Linked DNA regions of Ovis aries. The protein of the gene in region 1 purifies or fractionates together with the protein of each later gene. This does not show direct contact. Links are inferred from orthologs where the notes say so. Each region holds a gene or a part of one and is shown on either strand. Other genes may lie near its edges.

Region 1 (10,649 bases):
ACGCAGGTAGTCAGTAAGTTACCCAGTCTACAGTTTTCTGTTACAGCAGCCCAAGCTAAGACTGGAAGTAAATGCTAATGGGCACAGGGTTTTCTGGATAATGAAAATGTTCTAAAATTAAGATTATGGTGATGATTGCACAACTCTGTAGATATACTAAAAAAAAAAAAAAACACTGAATAGTATATTTCAAATGGGTAAACTTTATGGCATATAAATCAGATTTCAGTAAAGCTGTTAAAAACACACAAGGCACATTTTTAATGCCAAACTGTGTTCCAACAAGCTTGTACCATTTACACTCTGCTGTGCACTTTTTCACGCAGTGATTATAAAGCAGCATTTCACTACAAAATAGGGAGCCTATATTCACGGTATTTATCTTTTCAAACAGAGACTGAACAAGATTGATTCATTCAACAAATAACTGTTGAGCCTCTACTATATATCAGACTTCGTTCCTTCTAAAGATCCAATCGGGAAGAAGCCAGACACGCTCCCTGCCCTTGCTGAGCTAACCCTGGCGACCGGGAGCATCTCCTCAAACCTCACAGCCCAGGGGTACCTCTAGTCCGAGGTCGGCCCTGGATGAAGCTTCACCAAGCCTCAGTTGGTAAGTGGCAAGCCTTCACCAGAAATTTCATTCTGCCATCCTCTTTCTCAATCTCCTTTTACAAAATCCACGAAGATATTCTTTGCCTGAGAAAGTACAAACTGTGTACAAACTTATAGGAGCCATTTTTTTGGGTCTGCCCCTAAGCAGGCAGGAGGCACTTAATGGCCATGTGCTTAAGGAACCCACAGATGAACAGGCCTGGCCAGGCCTTTGGAAACTCAGGCAGAGGCAGAATCCTTGGCATGAAACCAAAGGGGTGAACCCAGGGGAGTGGGCACAGAGGACTTTGTCCAGAAAACGGTGTAACACGGTAATAGCTAAACAAACACCAGCCAACACTGAATGTACTCCCCCATCGGTTCCAGGTGCTTAAAACATGCAACTTTGCTTCATCCACAAAGTCACCCAACAAAACAGAAACTTCACTGAAGGAAACTGAGAATTAGGACAGTTACGTGAAAACCCCAGCAACACGGCCAGCACCCCGCTGAGGCAGGACTCTGACGCAGGCGTCCTGCGCACAAAGCCCAGGTCCTTCCAACACCATCGGGCCTAATGAAAGGGCCCCAAGGACCAGGATCCAGGCCTAAACCTCACAGAGCCGGAGCTCCTGGGGTACCCACCGGTGACCGAGCCTGGAGAGGAGGACACACACTGCCCAAACTCAACAGAAGGCCAAGGACAATCCGACTTCAGTTCAGTCTCTAAAACCGGGGCCTGGAAATTACCAAGCAGAAGAGCATCCATATCAGCATAAAAAGATTCCTCATGTTCCAGGGGTTTTTCTCCTCCACTCGGACCACCTGATGGAGAAGCTGACTCTGAGGGCCAGTTCCAGCCCACAGCAGTTCCACAAAATCCTCCCAGAATCCTCTCAGATTTGGTTCAGAGAACTAGGTGAAAGGCAGGATGGGGCACCGAGAGCCAGACTTTGGAGTATGCAGGCCTGGATTTTAAATCCTGGCTTGATCATGTGCTTTTTGGTGGGATCTCAGGGTGCTCACTTCACCTCTCTGAACCTCAGTGTCCTCACCTGGAAAAAGTGAATAAAACCGTCACCTCACTGGACCATTGTTCATCCAGGGAATTAACAGACAGGTACTGAGCCCCTACCATGAGCCAGATACCAGGTTAGGAAGTCGAATTACAAAGATGGTCACAATGCAGCCCCTGTTCTCAACGCAGGTCAGAGTCGAGTCTGGGAGAAAGACAAGTTAACAGCTGTGCCTGCAGCGGCCAGCGTATGGACCGACCGAGCACCTGAGATGCGGCGCCTCTAAATCGAGAAGGGTGGTAAGTGCAAGACACACACCGGACTTCAGAGACTCAGTAAGATCAGAGAGAAAGCAAAATATCTCGTTAGCATTTATTTGACTACAAGTTAGAATGATAATATATGGAAATATTAGGTTAAATAAAACATTAACTAATTTCAGCAGTTTCTTTGTACACTTTTAATGTGGCTATTAGAAAACTTTAAATTACATACATGGCTCAAATTATATACTGATTGGACTGCATTAGTTGAAAAAATTCAGTGAAGTCATGGGACTTCTCTGGCAGGCCAGTGGTTAAGACTCCAAGCTTCCACCGCAGGGGACTTGGGTTTGACCTTTGGCCAGTGAACTAAGATCCAGCATGATATGGTCAAAAAAAGAGAAAATTCAGTGATGTCAATAAGGGCTGTGAATACATCAGTGATGGGGGACTAAAGGAGAACAGAGGGCCCAGGTGGGGAGAGGGGATGTCAGTGAAGGATTCCTGGCAGTGACATCTAAACTGAGATGTGAAAAATAAGGCAAAGCAGAGGAGAGAGGGCAATCCAGGCGGCAGGCACAGCAAGTACCCAGGCCCAGCAGCAGAAAGAACAAGGCAGGTCATTCATAACAGTTTGGCAGCCGGCAGGTGACAGGCTTGGAGAGGAAACAGGGAAGGGAGAGGGGAGGCAGGACCCTAGTGAGGTAGATGGGGCCGCAGTACAAAGGAGCTCAGAAGCCGCATTAAAGAACTTGATCCTGGGGGCAGAAAGGAGCCAGGGAGAGTCTTAAGTAGGTAAGAGATTAGCTCAGCAATGTATGCAGCACCAGGGTTACCAGCAAAGGCAGGGAGAGGAGAACAAGGAAAATGTTTGATGTTTTGCTGAGTTGCTATTCTGGGTCAGACATTGGGCTAAACTCTTTTAGACTCATCCATTTTACAGATGATGAAAACTGAGGCTCACAGAGGGTGACTTGCCCAAGGTCACATGATTGTTAAGTGTCAGAAGTGGGATGGAAACCCAGCTAGGTCTAGGCTGAAGCTCCAATACTTTGGTCACCTGATGCAAAGAGCCAACTCATCGGAAAAGACCCTGATGCTGGGAAAGACTGAGGGCATGAGGAGAAGGGGACGACAGAGGACGAGATGGTTGGATGGCGTCACCAACTCAATGGACCTGAGTTTCAGCAAGCTCCGGGAGGTGGTGATGGACAGGGAGGCCTGGTGTGCTGCAGATCAGCGGGTCTCAAAGAGGTGGACACAACTGAGCAACTGAACAAGATTCCAAAACTGGTACTGAGATGTGAAGAGCTGCCTGAGAGAGTGATGTGCCTCTTTGCAACCCCATGGACTGCAGGCCTCCAGGCTCCTCTGTCCACGGAATTTTCACAGGCAAGAACGCTAGAGTGGGTTAACCATTTCCTACTCCAGATCTTCCCCACCCAGGGATCAAACCCATAGCTCTTGAGTCTCCTGCGTTGGCAGGCAGATTCTTTGCTACTGAGCCACGTGGGAAGCCCCGAGTAATAACGGACTTTAACTTAATGGCAATGAAAGGCATTCAACATATAAAGCAGCAGACTGTGGTGATCAGATTTGTACTTTTAAAACGAGCTTTTGAGCTATAGTATAAAAGGCTATCAGAGGTGTGAAGGAAACTAGGGCAATCCAGGTGAGGGGTGATATACCACTTACCAACTGAGCTATCAGGGAAACCCACAATATACCCAGGCAGTGGCAGAAAGATGATGAGAAAGGAACATGACAAATCACCTCAGGATTCAACTAGCAGGAGCGTCAAAGGGCCTTACTCTGTGTCTGATAAAATTGTTCACTAAGTCATGTCCGACACTTTGCGACCCCATGGACTGCAGCACATCAGGCTTCCCTGTCCTTCACCATCTCCCAGAGTCTGCTCACACTCATGTTCATTGAGTCGATGATGCCATCCAACCATCTCATCCTCTGTCATCCGTATGAATGGTTTCTCTGTTGGGCTCTCAATAAACAGAGCAACCATTTGTCAGGCTTGCCCAAGACAGGACCTGTTTATGTCTGCTGCTCAGGAATAAATATTAACTGTGTCCATTCTACTCTTAAAAGCATCCAGATATGCACACAGCAAATAACATGTCACCCTCTCAGTTAGGACCAAAAGAGGCAGCCTGTTCCTGGCAGAGCTGGATAAATGCCACAGGTTCTCTGGGCTCTCCTCTGAGTCCTCCTACCCTCTCCCCAACCAGGAGCCCAGGACAAGCAAAGGGGCCCAACTCGATAGCAGTGCAGGACCTTTTCAGGCCTCCCTCCCAAGAGAGACCCCCCACCCCACCAGCAATGTGGACTCCAACTGCCTCCTGGGACAGGTTCATTCGGCCATTATCCCCCAATTTGTACTACTGCTGTTGATGACCACGACGATGGTGGTAGTGATAATGGCGGGACCAAATCATTTTTAAAGCACTGATAATATGCCAGGCTGGAGAAGGCAATGGCACCCCACTCCAGTACTCTTGCCTGGAAAATCCCATGGACGGAGAAGCCTGGTAGACTGTGGTCCATGGGGTCACGAAGAGTCAGACACGACTGAGCGACTTCCCTTTCACTTTTCACTCTCATGCATTGGAGGAGGAAATGGCAACCCACTCCAGTGTTCTTGCCTGGAGAATCCCAGGGACGGGGGAGCCTGGTGGGCTGCCGTCTATGGGGTCGCACAGAGTCGGACACGACTGGAGTGGCTTAGCAGTAGCAGAACTTGAATCAGTTCTGTTCAACTCCAGCCAAGGTTCTTAACCACTGCACCCCACGGCCTGAGTCATGGCGGCCACTATGTGACTCATAAGCAAAGTCTGGACAGACCAACTACACTCCCTACAAGGAAAGCAAACCCCCAAACCACAATGAGCCACCAAGTACCCTCAAGGTCCCCGCCCCTCAACCAGCCCTCACTAACTGCACACTCCAAGACGTTCCATCTCCCTCTCTTTCAGAAAACCCCTCACCTGTCCCTCATCTCCTCTTCAAAATATGTCCCGAAATACGAGACATGGGGGCGACGCAGGGCGGGACCCTCAACCACCTACACTCAGTTATCAGTGGGCGGGTCCCCAAAGAGACCGTCCCCGAAGAAACCCATCTCACACACTCCCCACGCCAGGAACCCTCACACCCCCTCAGAGGCAAACCTCGAGTCTCGGATGGACCGAACCCCCATCCGTGGGAACCCCGGCCCGGTTACCGCGAACCCACAAAGCCCGGGCCGCACCTGCAGCCGCTACGCGTCCCGGGGAGGGTGACGTCTTCTTCCAACACCGAGTCCATCGTGGACACAGAGGAGGTGGTGCCGCTGGTGTCTAGCGACGGCGCCACTGCTTCCCCCGCGGGATCGCGACCCGCCCGGCTCCCCAGGTCCCCGCCCCCTCCAACCCAGCTCTTGTTCGGACTCCGGCGGCGCCGCTGGAATTCAAACCGCAGCGGCCGCCATCTTTCCCGGAGCTTCTTCCTACGGAAACGAGGCGGGGTCGCCGAAGCGCGCGCGGTGAAGCCAACCGGACTGGCCAGGAGACCGGGCAGGGAAGCGCTGGCGGGGCGCCATATTAACTAAGGGCAGAGCGCCTGCACTTGTACCAGCAAGACCGAAGGAAAGAGCGTTAGGCCGCCATTTTTAGTGAGGGCACGCGGGACGAGGCTAGCGGAGGCGCCATCTTTGTTCAGGGCTGAGCCAGATTTGGGCCGTTAATTTAAGCGGGAGATGGGAATTCGGCACCTACCTTTGGGGAGCCGCATAACTCCTAACCAAGTGTATACTCCGAACCTTAGGGTCTGGGCATCCCAGAGGCTTCCGCCTTGAACTGAAACTCCGTTAATCGGTTGTGGGAGTCGCTTTAGAAAAATCCTACCTACATATTCCCAACTCGAGTAATTTGCACACTTGGTTTGAAATAGATAAGCGCATCCCTATGAGCCTAGTGGTCAGTGACACTCCTTCTCCAGCCTCAAACCTAGTTAACTTTTATTACCTGTAGGGCTCGAATAATGCACCTGGGATCAGTATGCTGCTGCTGCTAAGTCGCTTCAGTCGTGTCCGACTCTGTGCGACCCCATAGACGGCAGCCCACCAGGCTCCCCCGTCCCTGGGATTCTCTAGGCAAGAATACTGGAGTGGGTTGCCGTTTCCTTCTCTAATGCATGAAAGTGAAAGTCAAAGTGAAGTCGCTCAGTCGTGTCCGACTCTTAGCGACCCCATGGACTGCAGCCTACCAGGCTCCTCCGTCCATGGGATTTTCCAGGCAAGAGTATTGGAGTGGGGTGCCAGTGGGATCAGCATACTGAGGCCAAATGAGAGGAAAGACTCGCCTAACTGCATGCACCGGAAGTCTGTCGACAGGACACATCCGTGGCTCCTGCGGACTATCAGTATATCTGAGCTCTCTGCTAGCCCTGGCCGCCTTTCTTAAAGCACACAGCAATCACTAGATCATTTTGGCAGAGCTTGACCTGTGAAAGCAACCTTCTCCTCATCTCGGTGTTCCTACCTTCCTCTGCAGACTGTCCGGAGAGCAGAGAGCCGGATAAAAATAACTTGAAAAGATGAATGACTGGGTAGATATACCCATCCTCCTTCAGCCTCAGTTTCCTCATTCTTTCCAAAGGGGCCTTTTTAATACTCTGATCTACAGCAAACCCTTTCTTGTATTCTCAGCAATGTGTAATTTTTTCCCCTTTGTGGCACTCACCACATTTTGCAATCCCATACTTCTGTATATAATTTTTTTTCTTATGTCTTCAGCACTAGACTGGAAGTTCTGTGAGAGCGGAGACTGTTCAGAATTGTTCAAGGCTGTATCGCCAACACCCAGCAGGGGTTTAAATATATATGTTGATGAATGGTTCACTCAGTATGGAAAATGGGGCTGATATTATCCTGCAAGGTTTCTTCAAGTTATTTTATTGAAGTATCATTGATTTACAGTGCTGTGTTAGTTTCTGTTGTATACAAAGTGATTCAGTTGAATGTATGTATATATGTGTATATGTCCCCTTCTCCAAGGGATCCTCCCAACCCAGGGATCGAACCCAGGTCTCCTGCATTGCAGGCGGATTCTTTACCGTCTGAGCTACCAGGGAAGCTATGGAGATATATGGAGAAGGCAATGGCAGCCCACTCTAGTACTCTTGCCTGGAGAATCCCAGGGACGGGGGAGCCTGGTGGGCTGCCGTCTATGGGGTCGCACAGAGCGACTTAACAGCAGCAGCATATATATATGTATCTATGTATGTATGTATGTATGTATGTGTGTATGTGTATGTATGTGTGTGTATGTGTGTGTATGTGTGTGTGCATATGTGTGTATGTATGTGTGTGTGTGTATGCGTGCATGCATGTATATATGTATTTATGTATATGGGCTTCCGTGGTGGTCCAGTGGTCAAGAATCCACCTGCGAATGCAGGAGACACAAGAGACACGGTTCAATCCCAGGGGCGGGAAGATCCCCTGGAGGAGAACGTGGCAAGCCACTCCAGTATTCTTGCCTGGACAATTCCATGGACAGAGAAGCCCGCCGGAGTCACAAAGAGCCGGACACAACTGAGCATGCGTGCGTGTGTGTGCGTGTGTGTGTGTGTGTGTGCGTGTATAATATTCTTTCTCAGATTCTTGTCCATATGGTTCACCACAGGACATTGACTAGTTCCCGGTGCCATATGGCAGGACCTTGTTGTTCATCCATTCTATATATAATAGTTTGCATCTTATCCTGCAAGGTTTTTGTGACAATGTGGAGATGACCTCAGATTCCTTTACTACCTGGTCAATGGTAGTCCCATCTCTCTCCCTCCCGCAGCCCCCGCCAACTCCCTCTCTCTCTCTCTCTCTCACACACACACACACCCCCCTTAGTGAAGGCGGCAAATCACTGCCCTGTCCCGCTTCCATCCCCAGATCTTCAACCACCTCCAGAATCAGCAATAAAATAACAGTCTGAAAGAGAGTGGGCAGGAACCAGCGGGCATGCAGGGAAGGGGCAGCCCTCGATTCCCTGGAACCAACAGTCCAATAAGACGAGTGTGTCGGAAAGCAGGGGAGCTGGCGTGTCAGGATTCCTGCCGTGATTCCGCCCCTGACTTCCTGAGATCTTCGGCAGACCGCTCCTCTTCTGGGCCTCAGAAGGCTGTTAAATGGGAGGATTGGACTGGATGGCTGTCTCAAGACCTTACAGATCTAGGGAAGCTTTCTTTCTGTTGATTTCAAAGCTTCTAGTGCACAACCAGCTCTGTTCCGGTGTGGAGGGCTGAGTTGCAAATCATTACTTCCCGAATGAAGGGACTAACTTTCTGTCCGGCAGATGAAAGCTCTTGAGAAGGGAAGGAAGGCAGAGGTTGTGCACACTGTGACGTTTCTTACGCGACACCTGTGCTAGGGACATCGCAAACGGTGCTGAATCTAACACAACCACCCTCCGGGCAGGTGCTACTGTTATCCCCGTTTCACTCACAGATGGGAAGACTGAGGCTGAAAGAGGTAAAAATAACCTTCTTGAGGTCTCCCTGCTGGTAAGTGGTAAAGCTCGGATTTGAGCCCAGGTCCCTCTGAACCTTCCTGAAAACTCTAATTGTTTCAGGAAGCCTGTCCGCTCTATTTGTTTCTCTCCACTTTAGAACTTGGGATTAAGAGGTGAGGTCTACATTTAGACACTAGTATTTCAGGGATATGTCCACCAGACTCTACAACTTAGACACCTGCTTCCAGGTGGCCCCAAGATGAATCTAGGTGTGGGCAACTCAGGACCGGAAGTCTGGGTGCCGGGATCCTGACTCTGGGAGGTCGTCCAGCTTATCCTGGGGCCTGGGTCTCTTTCCCTGGCTCCTCCTTGGTTTTCCTTTGTGTAAAATGGGAGAGACCATGCTGAGCTCACATGGTTACGTTCGATACTTTGGAAACTCTAAAGAAGAAAGAGCCGGGGAGGGGTTCTCCTTATGATGAATCTACTGCCCTTTCAGCAAATGGCCATATGCCTGGCTTATGTGCTAAACGCTTCAGTGAACCTGGAAACTGAAAATAGAGCCAACTGCACAAAAGATGGGCTATTTGGGCAGTTGTTTTCTGTTCTCGTGGTCAGGGGCGAAGCCCTCTGCCCCGTCTCGTCTCCGGCTCACCATGGCCTTTCTTTCTGCCAAGCCCGGAGGTGACGTCACTACCACCAGCTGTTTGGGCTATCTGGCGCCATCTCCTTGACGACAGCCACCCAGCCACAAAGCTGGCATTATTATTTCCCTGGACAAGGTCATATCGAATGGCTGGGAGGAAGTCGCTTGCAGCCAGATGTTTCTCATTAGGGTAGAACCCTCAAGACACAGGAGCTGCCATTCCTAGCAGCAAAAATAAGGTTTCACAGCACGGATACATGCACACTGCTACTTTGCATGGGTTCATTTTCTCCTTTCAGCACTGTGAAGTAGATTAGGATGGCTGGCTGTCTTGCTCTTCAGGTTAGGAAAGTAAGGCTCAGAGAAGGGAAGAGACTTGCCAACAGCCACACTTTCTTCCTTTCTCTCTCTCTCTTTCTTAGCTTTTCATTCAGAAATAATTTCAATCTTAGAAAAAGTTGCAAAAAGAGTACAGAGATTTCCTAATATAACCATCACCCAGCTTCCTAAAACTACTAATATTTTACATAACCATAACTCAATTGTCAAACATAAGAAATTACATTGATATGATATGATTCACTACAGATTTTATTTACATTTAAGCAGTTTTCCCATTGATGCCATTTTTTTGGCCCAGGAGCCATCCAGGCTTCCATGTGGCTCTGTCCACATCTTTCATGACGCTGACACTTTAGGAAAGTTCAGCCCAGTGGTCTGGGCTCGTGTGGTGTTTCCTCGTGGTAAAACTGACGCTGTGCACTTCTGGCAAAAGTGCCGCACAAGTGACGCTGTGCCTTCCGCAGCTACCAGGAGGCGTGTGCGCGTTCTCCAGCGCTCAGTGTGTGTCTGACTCTTTACGACTCCATGGACTGTAGCCCATCAGGCTCCTCTGTCCATGGGATTTTCCCAGCAAAAACACTGGAGTGGGTTGCCATTTCCTTCTCCAGGGGGCCTTCCCGACCCAGGGTGAGCTTGCATTTCCTGCATCTTCGGCATCGGCAGATGGATTCGTCATCATCTGCACCGGGAGAGATGGACTCTCCACTGCACCGCCTGGGAAGCCCAGGAGGCAGATGACGTCAATGTGTCTCTTCAGCTGGTGCTGTTAACTCTGGTTTCTCCAGTAAGGTGATGTCTGCGAGGATCCTCCGTGATAAAATTGCTATTTTTCATCATTAATAAAAATCATGATGATATTTGAAACTATGTAAGTACCCCATTTTTCATCAGATTTTCACCCGCTAATTCAGCAGCCATTGATAATTCTTACCCAGAATCTCACAGCGTGCTTCGCCCGTCGATGCCGTCCCGTTTTCATCATCCCTTCTCTCTTTACTCGTTGGAGTTCCACTGTGAGGGAGAGCTTTCTCTCCTCCCGCATTTATCTAGTTTGTTTATTTAAATCAGGATGGACTCGTGGATATTTGTTTTACCTTGTGGGTTAGAACATATTACCATCGTTATTTCTTCTGTTACACAAATTGTCCTAGATTTGACCAGGTCGCCCTTTGAACACAGAGGTGTGCCAAGGTTCGAACCCAGGTCTGTCTGGTCCCCAGGTCAGCAGTACTCCTGGCCCGTCACCTGCCCGCTTGCTCACAGCTCTCTTCCCAGCCAGCCCTCACCA
Region 2 (9,577 bases), on another chromosome or scaffold:
ATCCAAAGTTGGCTGATAGGAAATCTTCCACAGCCCCAAGCTGGATATGTGTGACAACTGTCTACTTTTGGTTGAGGCTAGCACTCTTGCAGATCCATCTGCAGAACAAACCTGTGCTTCCTCCTGTTCTGCCAGCTGGTCACAGGGAATGTACCCTGAAACCACAGATACAGCCTGAAGAGGAGACATGAGGTAGGAGGAAGATTCAGCACCACGAGTCTGACCACCTGCTGAGTCATTCATGTATGCCTCCAGGGTCTGTTCAGGCCAGCTCTGTGTGCACTGGTGATGGACAAGCCTCCTGTGATGAAATCCTACCCACAGTGGGATGGCAGCGGGAGGTAGAAGCTCTGGGGGGCAGATGAGGCTGTGAGGTGGAGCCCTCAGGACAGGGGTTAGTGCCTTTACAAGGGTCATGAGAGCACTCGCTCCCCATTGTGCTTTCCATCATGTGATAACACGAGGAATAGTCAGCTGTCTCCAACTCAGAAGGGGCCCTCACCAGAACCCACCCTGTCAGCACCCTGATCTTGAACCTTAAGCCTCCAGAACTCTGAGACAAAGTTCCATTGGTTATACACCGCCCAGTTTATATTTTGTCATAGCAACCTGAGCTGAGACCATACTGTTTCTGGTTTTCAGTGGAAGGCTGCTGTTTACATCTAGTTTTATTGCTTGTACTTCTCTAGCTCTTGGGGGATACAATTTTGATGGGGTCCAGAGGTGATGGCATGTCCCAGGTGCAATCATGAAAGCTTTTACCGTGAAGTTCCCTTGTCATTCTTCCTCAGTGGGCAGGGACAACTTCTCTGCCTTACCTTAGGGTCTTTGCTTATATATCATCATATCATAATAATTGGTCCTAGTGAGTAGGAAGTAGTACCCTAGATGCCTTAGATGGTGAGAGCTAAATTCTTTGAAACATCTGTGGTGTGTGGACTATCACGGTTTCCGTTCCAGAATGAAAGACAAGTAGTCAAAGACACCCTGCAGAGCCCACAACTAAGAGAGGCCCAGGCTTGGTGCATGTGGACCTTTCTGTGACCACATCTTGGCTGCTGCTCCAGCCTACTGACTGAGAAAGCCAGAGGCTGTTGGGTTTGAGTGAGACCTGGACAAAGACCTGCAGGTCTGATGCTCAGGCAAGCTTATAGCTGGCCAGGCAGAAGTGTGGGCTGCCTGGGGACTCTATGCTGACCCCAGGTAGTGTCAGAACTGTACTGCAGGACATTTGGGTGGTGATGGAGAGGTGGCGGTGAACAAGATGATGCAAGCAGGTTGAGAAGGTGAGAGTTATGGCAACAGCTCTCTAGGGTTCCCATGGAATGTCTGCTGCGAGTCCCTGTGCCCGGTCCTCTCCTGTTCTGCAGATGAACCTGCTGTTTCTGCTGGGAATCCTCTAGGGACTTCCCAAATTCCTTGCTCACCATCACTGCTTCTGACAGAAAACTCTTCTTACAGCAAAAGTACATGCTAGGCTCATGACCCCGGGATTCCTTGATGTCACCCAGGTGCAGCTCAGCTTACTGGGAAGGCCTCCCTTCTGCCGACCCACTTATGGCCATTTCTCCTGCAGCCGAATATATCAGCCTGGGGCCACAGAAGGTGGGACGTGCCCCTCTTACTGCTGTCAGACAACCCTGGGGGAGTAACTGCTTTCTATCCGTGACTCTGCTCCATCCATGGGCTCTGCTGTGCTGGTGACAGTGGTCCCTCTGAACCAGCAGGGGTGGGGGTTCCTGCATCGGCTGGTGTAAGTGACCCGGTCACTGAGGGGAAGCCTGGGGGCTGGCACAGTACGAGCACAGTGAAACCTGTACCTGTAACTTGGTATCTCCAGGGACACCTCCTGTACTCAGTACTTTCAGGTTTGACTGTGTAAGAAAGGAAGTCCTCTAGAAACAAGACTGTTGAGGGCTCAGATCTTTTAGGAAGTACAGTGCTTGTCACCCAACCAGCTCAGTGAGGCCCAGAAAACCCAGCCCATGTGATGGAAGGAAGATGTGTGGATGCAGGGCACTGCCCTTTCTACCTTACTGCTACTCTGGACATCCCTCCTACTTCCCACGTGACATCTGCCTTGCAGGAGACTGTGCCCTGGGGTCACAGTGGACACTCCTTGGCCCCTGCACCATGAAGGGGAACCTCCCCTTGGTTTTAGGATCTTCTGATGAACTTAATGTGAACTGATTATTTTAGGGCAGAACTGGAGGTTTTCTAACTGTATCTATCGCTCCCTCTATATTAATAAGCTGGTGCTTTACTATGAAGAATTTCCCTCATCAGCAGGTGTGACCTGTGTTCTTTTCAATTATCAACCCCCATGGTAACAAGTTGGTGTGATGGTGGTTATGAGCCCAGTCCCTCCCTCGTTAGCTTAACACTGATGTACATGGATATTTATTTATTCAGTATTTGATCATAAATTTCAACTGTCATTCTTCTGGACGTTGAGAGTGAAAGGCCATTTCTTGGATTCCTGCGCCTGGAGCCGGTCAAGATTTCGGCTTCAGCAACATCACACGAAGAATGAGGACTGACTGGAAAAGGTAGGATGGCTGTAGAACAGTGACCTACGGCATACTGGCCAAGCGGCAGCAAACGCACCCAAGCTGCAGACAGAGAAAAACCCATCCCAAAGACAGATAAGCAGTGGCTTAGAAGAAGCTGTGTATTGAAACCAAGCCCAGCAGAATAAACATCACGTTCAAAGGTCCTAGAAACACACTGAGATACTTGTACATATGCCTTTACAGTGGCTGTTTGGGTAAAGGACACTTGGCTGGACATCACTACCAGGTACAGGTGAGCACGAGTAAAACATAAAGAAGATCCTAATCGTGAGAAATAAATACGTCTGACAAAAATAAAATAAGAGCCCAAGCAAGGTGAGTCAACAGGCACATGGCTATTTGTCTTACCAGCGCTTTCAGAGTTTTTTTGACTGACAGGAGTTTATAAAAAAAATTCTAACTTTTATTTTTTTGCCAGTGATAAAAGTGAACTGGAGAAACGAAACAACAAAACACAGGACTATTCACAAGTACATCAGGGCTCTTTTTTTTTTTTTTTAATGTTTTTGTTTTAAACCAAGTTTCCAGCTGTACACTTTAAGAAAATAAACAGGAAGTCATCCTCTGCTTATCCTCTGTGGAGGTAGGCATGCAGGCATGACTGAAACCAAGGGGCTACCTCATCAAGATGAGAAGCTAAAATGTGCTGAATTACAAAGAAAATACCCCATTTGGCTTCACAGCAAAATGTAAGGGTGAGAACACTTAACGGATGACACGGGGCTGGCACTCAGCATGCCACAGCACAAGCTTCCCCTCAGAAAATCAAATGTCTTCCTCAAAATTGTCACAGGACTTTATTCACTGTTTAATCTTCTGGCAGCAGGACTTCTTTGAAGTGGACTCTGAACACAAAGAGAAATGAGGAAGCAATCTGTTAGAAGGCTTCACGTCTTTTAAGAGGAATTTCACAATTTCCAAACACTTCCATTGCATTAATCTTATTTTTGGTGAAAACAGAAACAGCAATCAAGAGGCACAGTAGTTTAAACTATGAGGGATGAGAAACTGAACAGACGACACCCTGTGAACACGGCGTGATGGCCGTGTGAGACGAAGGCCCGGAGGCCCATCTGGTGCTTGAGCCCGCAACCCCCACGTGGTGTGCCCTTCACCCCGCCCCAGCCCTCAGGTGCCTGCACTGGTACTTCTACCAACCCTCCTCCTGGTACTTCAGCGACGGCTGGTCAGCAGGACAGATACTGACAAGGCTGACCAGGCTGCATCCCAACCACCTCCACGACTGACCGCTCCCGAGTCTCTCGGGTCACGGGGGAAGACAGGACTTGGGTTACCTGGTGGCATGCCTCCCAGTCTTTGCTGGATCATTTCTAAGTGGTGAATATACTCTGTCAAGGAATGTTCTGGATCTTGAGAAGCAGTCAGGGATCTTTCTGATCTGGGATTTGAGGGTGGACTGGATCTTCAAACACACAAACAACCAAGGGACAAAAAAGAAGTCAACTCAGCAGACAGAATGCAGGGGTGTGACAGGCAGTGGCACCAGGACTGCACACTAGTGGGAAACGGGGTAAATGATGTTATCTTCCCATCGTTTCTTCACCACAAAGGGAAAGTATGGCTTTAAAAACAGTGCTACACTGTCCTTTAGAAACTAACTTTTTTACAAGGTCTCCAAGTATAAGATGACTAAAAGCTATTGTGTATTATTATGTATTATTTAATTCAATAAATCTTCACACACAAGTTTCTACCTAGCATTCCACCCGGTTCAGCCCAGCATCCCTCATGTGGCTGCCTTTCCTCCTGACCTCCAGTGACCATGTCACGGCCCACTGCTGCTCCCAGGGCAGCGAGCATCTTACTCACCCGAGCACCATCCACACACAAGAGGCCTTGGCCACCACTTATTCTTTCAGAGGAGCACCAGCCTGGGCCCAGGGGGGCCACAGCCGTACTGAGAGTCCCTGCCCTCCTCGAACAGAACCAGGCTTTTGGGTCCTCACAGGCTCACGTGTCTGTACGCTCTGCCTCACTCTGGGGCCATGACTTTCAAAACACATTTCTCGGAGGGACTACATGCACTGGTAGGATATGCTCAGCAGAGACACACATGAGCAGAAACACAGCCTCTAGCACAGCAGGCTGCCCGTACTTGTGGGCCTGGCTCCTCCGGTCAGGGCAGTTATGCCCAAGATTGTCACACTCTTAACACACAGTTCAAATGGAGGCGTCATCACCAACCAGAGGCCATGAAGTGAGACAGCAAACATGTTTCATCCTGCTAGCTGGGGGCAGAGGTGGACGTGTTTGCTCTGAGAGCTCCTTTCTGAGTCCCAGGAAAGCACTCGCAGAGAAAGCAGATGACACACCTGCCCGGCCCCAGTGCAGGTCCAACACCACAGATACAAACTGAGCTTTTCTACCCGCTTCATGGGTAGGTTCAAAGGCAAAAGAATGAAATAAATGACTTGTTAAATCATACTTGAGCATTTGGATACAATTATTACTACTTATGTGTCAATCTGAAGTGGAAATGGAAATCACATCTCTCTCACATGCAGCGCTTGGCTGAGAAATCTCATGGTCAGGAAACTGGGGTGCAAATCATGAAGATGATCAAGGCCGCGCATGTGACCCCACGGCTGCAGCACTTCACAGTCTCACAGAATCACAGCTCCCACCACCCCAGCCACCAGGGAAACCTTTCCTCACTTGAATTTGTAAACGGGATTACACTCTACCATTTAACTACACAGCCTAATTGAAAACCCTATTCCCCCAAATAACTTACAGATGTTTAACATTATCACTCCAACATCTCACTTGCCAAGTAAGTCATAAGTATAAAGACATATTACACATGCAAAACCCCCAAATCCCAAAGAAAAGAGATTAAGTAAAGCTAACACCAAACCCTTCCATGTGTGTGAATGAGTGTGTGCATGTGTGTGGGGGTTCACGTGCCTGGGGGCCCTTCCACTGGAGGCGGACCCGGGCACCCACACAAATCTGCCCCGGAACACTTCTGTGCAAGGCCCCATTCTCTGCAGACTTGCCCCTGCCGACAGCTAGGACCCCGTAGTGGAAAAGCAGCTGAGACTCCTCCACTCACCTTTCCCTCCTGCGTGGGGATGCTTTTGACACAGGGTCCCTGGGCTGGCTGGAAGACACATCCCGGGTGGGTGGGGATTCACGGGTGACAGGTGGAGACTGCTGCCGCCGTGGTACCAGGAATCCTTCCCCTAGGAATAGTTAACAACAAAGGGATTAAGGAAAGAGAAAAAATGCATTTTAGTAAAGGCTCATCCACCAAAATTTAAAATTTACAAGCTTTTAAGAGCCTGCATGACAATTTCTAGACATTTAAAAAGTATTCGTTATAAGGACTGTATTAAAAAAACCTCAAGAAGGAAACTGAGTTTTGAGCACCTGCATTTTGCTCCTGCAAAGGCAGTCCCTGACCATCTGCATCTGGGTGGGCAGTATCCTGGAGGAGGGCTCAGCACCCCAATGGAGAGAGGAGGGCACTGAGTGGCCTGAAGTGGATCTCCCACACCCAGCTCTGAGGAGTGAGAGACGCAGAAACCCTGGAGGCCATCAGGTTCATCAGAGGCAGGGGGTGTGGGGAAACCTCCTGAAGAACCTTGAAGCCATCTGACTTCAAGATGTGAGGATTCACACGTGGAAGTCTAAGCTGACGGGCACCACTAGGGAAGCCCAGTGGCCATGTAGGGCACTGACCACTGCAGATGGCCCAGGTGGCTTGGCTACACCCGGGCCTGGCTGGTCAGATATGGTAGCAAACAACCGCAGACTGGACGGGACTGAAACAAAGGATGCAGCCATGCTCCCTGAGTGAAGTAGAACTTCACTCCATTTAAGGAATAGAAAGACTTTTTATTGAAAATAAACTATCAGTCAATACATTCAGCATTTCTGTATCCTTCAGTCATTGCTATGCTCCTCTGAACCGCTTTCTTCATAGATATTAACTATACAAATCTGTGTTTGTTGCCCAAATAAAAACCATTTTCCTTCTAAATCCCTGCACCTCCTGACAAGTGTACTGGCTGAGTCGCTGGTTTCTCACTATGCTTTGTGTCTTCCCACCTGGCACTGAGAAGGAACCCCGATACTGAAACATGTGGGGTCAGAGGTACCTGGGCGCAGCACTTGGCCTGGGGCTAGGGCTCCTCTGCCATCTACTTGTTGCCACTTCTTAACCAAAAAGCGTAATCTACAAAAAAGGAAGAAAAACACTGAAAACCAGAGCAAAGTCGGGGTGTAAATAACCAAGAACATTTAGCCCTGACCAGACCCTGTAGTCGGAGAAGGCAATGGCACCCCACTCCAGTACTCTTGCCTGGAAAATCCCACGGACAGAGGAGCCTGGTAGGCTACAGTCCATGGGGTTGTGAAGAGTCGGACATGACTGAGACTTCACTTTCACTTTCATGCACTGGAGAAGGAAATGGCAACCCACTCCAGTACTCTTGCCTGGAGAATCCCAGGGATGGGAGCCTGGTGGGCTGCCGTCTATGGGGTCGCACAGAGTCGGACACGACTGACGTGACTTAGCAGCAGCAGACCCTGTAGTGCGAGCACAGCCCCCACCCTGGCAGTACCTCCACAGGCCCCACCCTGCCCCTCCAATCACAGCCCCGCCCCCCAGCCCCACCCAGGCAGTCGCCAGCACCTTCCCAGGCCCCGCCCCACTCCCAGCCCTTCCAATCACAGCCCCGCCCCGCCCTGTGCTCCCAGCCCCGCTCTCAGTTCCTAGCCCCGCCAGCTTGAGGTCTGTCTGGGTCGATGGCCTCTTGCTCTCTATGCATCGCTCCATTCATGGGGACCAGAGGTGAAGCAGTGTGGGGGCTCCGAGACCCTTCTCCTCGATGACCCCTGGCAGCGCCCCGATAGCACTGCTGCTGCTGGGTCCCAAGGCTGCGAAGCACCGCTGTGTACTGACCAGAAGACGGACCATCTGGCCACCCCCACCCACATGTGACCTTCTTCCTGGCCCAGGGTAGGCTCTCCAAAACTACATGACAGATGGGTTTCAGAGTGACAGTCAGGTGGGTGGACGGTCTGCCCTCAGAAGAACGCAGAGGGAAGTGCCCACCCCCACGGGGGGCTCCTAGTAGGTGTGCAGCTGAACCAGCTGGGGCGCTGCATCTCGAGGGCCTTGGGACCCCCTGACCTTCGCATACAGTCCAGGAAAGAGCCAGGGTGCCCCGCTCACCCCATGGCACCTGTTCTTGCTGACAGGTGAGTATGGCCTGGAAGAGGCACCTCCGTGGGCAACACAGAGCAGACACAGATGTACAGTTCTTAGTAGAACAGACGTTTTTAGAGATAGAGCAGATATTAAAATTATAAAACGAAATAGATTTTCATCACTGTTAATTGTGAAACAGTCAAAATTTCTTGTCGTCACACCAGGGAGTCCACCTCACTCCAAAAGTGCCTCCTGCACACACACTGGAGGCTGGGCAGGGCCAGGCAGGTGGACACTCAGAGGCAGGGGCACCCCCTGCCCACAGCGCAGGCTCAGAGCTTGTCTACAGGGAGGGCTGGAACATGCCACCTGGGGGCAGGGGGAGGGCATGTCTTCCTGTGCACATGTCGACCTTCATGTAACACAGATTTGACTAAAATATAAGAAACTGAAATGTAAAGAAGCAAAATACAGTTTTAACCATGATCAGACTGTCGTCACAAGAGCCCCGTTAAGAGGAAGGCTTAGTTTTATAATAAAAAGGCAGCCTTATACACTTCTGTCTCAGAAGGTGTAGCTCTGCACAGAGTGGTTTCCAGAAGATAAAGGTCGTTTACATTTTAAGGCCTCAAATGTCATTCATCTTAAACGAGGAAACAACTGTAGAGTTTAAAAGACCGAAGGACCTCACACCAGCAGACAGGCAGTACCTTAGGACGGCGATCACCACCCTGACGGCCGTGCGGAACCTGGTGAAGGGGCGGGACTCCGTTGCCTTCTTGTCTGCTTTGGAAGGGAACACCCCCAAGTGGGCGATCATGGACAGGGTTTCCTGTTCAGAGTCCTGGAAGCCACCGATGAGCAGCAGAAGGTACTTCTTCTGATAAATCAGGGCTTTTCTAAAGCTCTCTGCTCTCAAATAACGCAGGTACAACTTTTCCATCTAAAAGGAAAAAAACAGTGAAACTTGGTCACAGGACAAAGACATCCTCCTCAGAAGTCTCCACAGCAGAGCTGTTGCACCAAGTGCTTTAGAAGAACCAGACTTTCTCCTCAGAAATTATCACAGGGTTTGGCTCCCATGACATCTGTGACCAGAACCAACCTTGCTGTTCAGAGTTCCATCTGGTTTATCAGACAAAACGCAGAGCAGATGTTGCTTTGCCAGCACTGGAGGAGCCCAAGGGCCCCAGGAATCAACCACCGAGCGTGGGCCAGACTAGGGGCAGGTGGAGCTCCGCTCCCAGGCCCGCAGGCATCCAGGGAGGGGAGGCTGCGGGAATCCTGAGGTCACAGGCAGAAGTCGGCATCCTATCCTGACGGGGCTTCCCTCAAGAGGCCCCCTTGGGCCTCATGGTCAGAAATGCTGCGTGAACTGCAGGCCAAGGGTTTTCTCAGGCTGCAGACACGATGCCCTGAGATTCAAGGCATCAGGGGTTTCACCCCAACCCAGGATCTTAAGAGGCACCACAGGTGGAGCCTGGAGGCTCTGTAAAGCGGTAAGAACACTCCGCATGACACTGGCGTGGGAAATACATGTTGTCTTACACATGTGGTCTTATACTCATCAAACCCACAGCAAGTATAGCCCCAAGAGTGGCCCCCACGTGATGACAACGTGGGTCTATCAACTGCAACACATGCTCCATCTCGGGCAAGTGGATAGTGTTTGGGGGCTGGGGGTGGGAAATCTCCGTAATTTCCCTTCAATGCTGTCGTGAACTTAAAACGTGCCTAAAAACATGAACAAGTCAGAAGCGGCCAGGAGATGGCGTCCCCACACTTAACACTGCCCGCGGGCTCGCGCTCACCTTGGCACTGCAGG

Evidence for each region. Proteins that work in one complex are often made in the same cells at the same time.
Region 2: the proteins of CDK5RAP2 (region 1) and PCNT purify together in Homo sapiens (co-immunoprecipitation; 4 studies listed by BioGRID and IntAct, with this or other methods). This does not show direct contact. The link is inferred for Ovis aries from reciprocal best matches to the Homo sapiens genes CDK5RAP2 and PCNT.

Annotation. Positions count from the first base shown.
Region 1 is NC_056055.1:2,933,937-2,944,585, reverse strand, and holds the start of CDK5RAP2 (CDK5 regulatory subunit-associated protein 2), read right to left. Parts: upstream 5,375-10,649; 5' UTR 5,192-5,374; coding exon 5,136-5,191; intron 1-5,135. UniProt on the Homo sapiens protein: Potential regulator of CDK5 activity via its interaction with CDK5R1. Negative regulator of centriole disengagement (licensing) which maintains centriole engagement and cohesion. Involved in regulation of mitotic spindle orientation.
Region 2 is NC_056054.1:266,841,117-266,850,693, reverse strand, and holds the end of PCNT (pericentrin), read right to left. Parts: coding exon 9,564-9,577; intron 8,696-9,563; coding exon 8,463-8,695; intron 6,775-8,462; coding exon 6,698-6,774; intron 5,780-6,697; coding exon 5,650-5,779; intron 3,997-5,649; coding exon 3,869-3,996; intron 3,419-3,868; coding exon 3,375-3,418; 3' UTR 2,955-3,374; downstream 1-2,954. UniProt on the Homo sapiens protein: Integral component of the filamentous matrix of the centrosome involved in the initial establishment of organized microtubule arrays in both mitosis and meiosis. Plays a role, together with DISC1, in the microtubule network formation.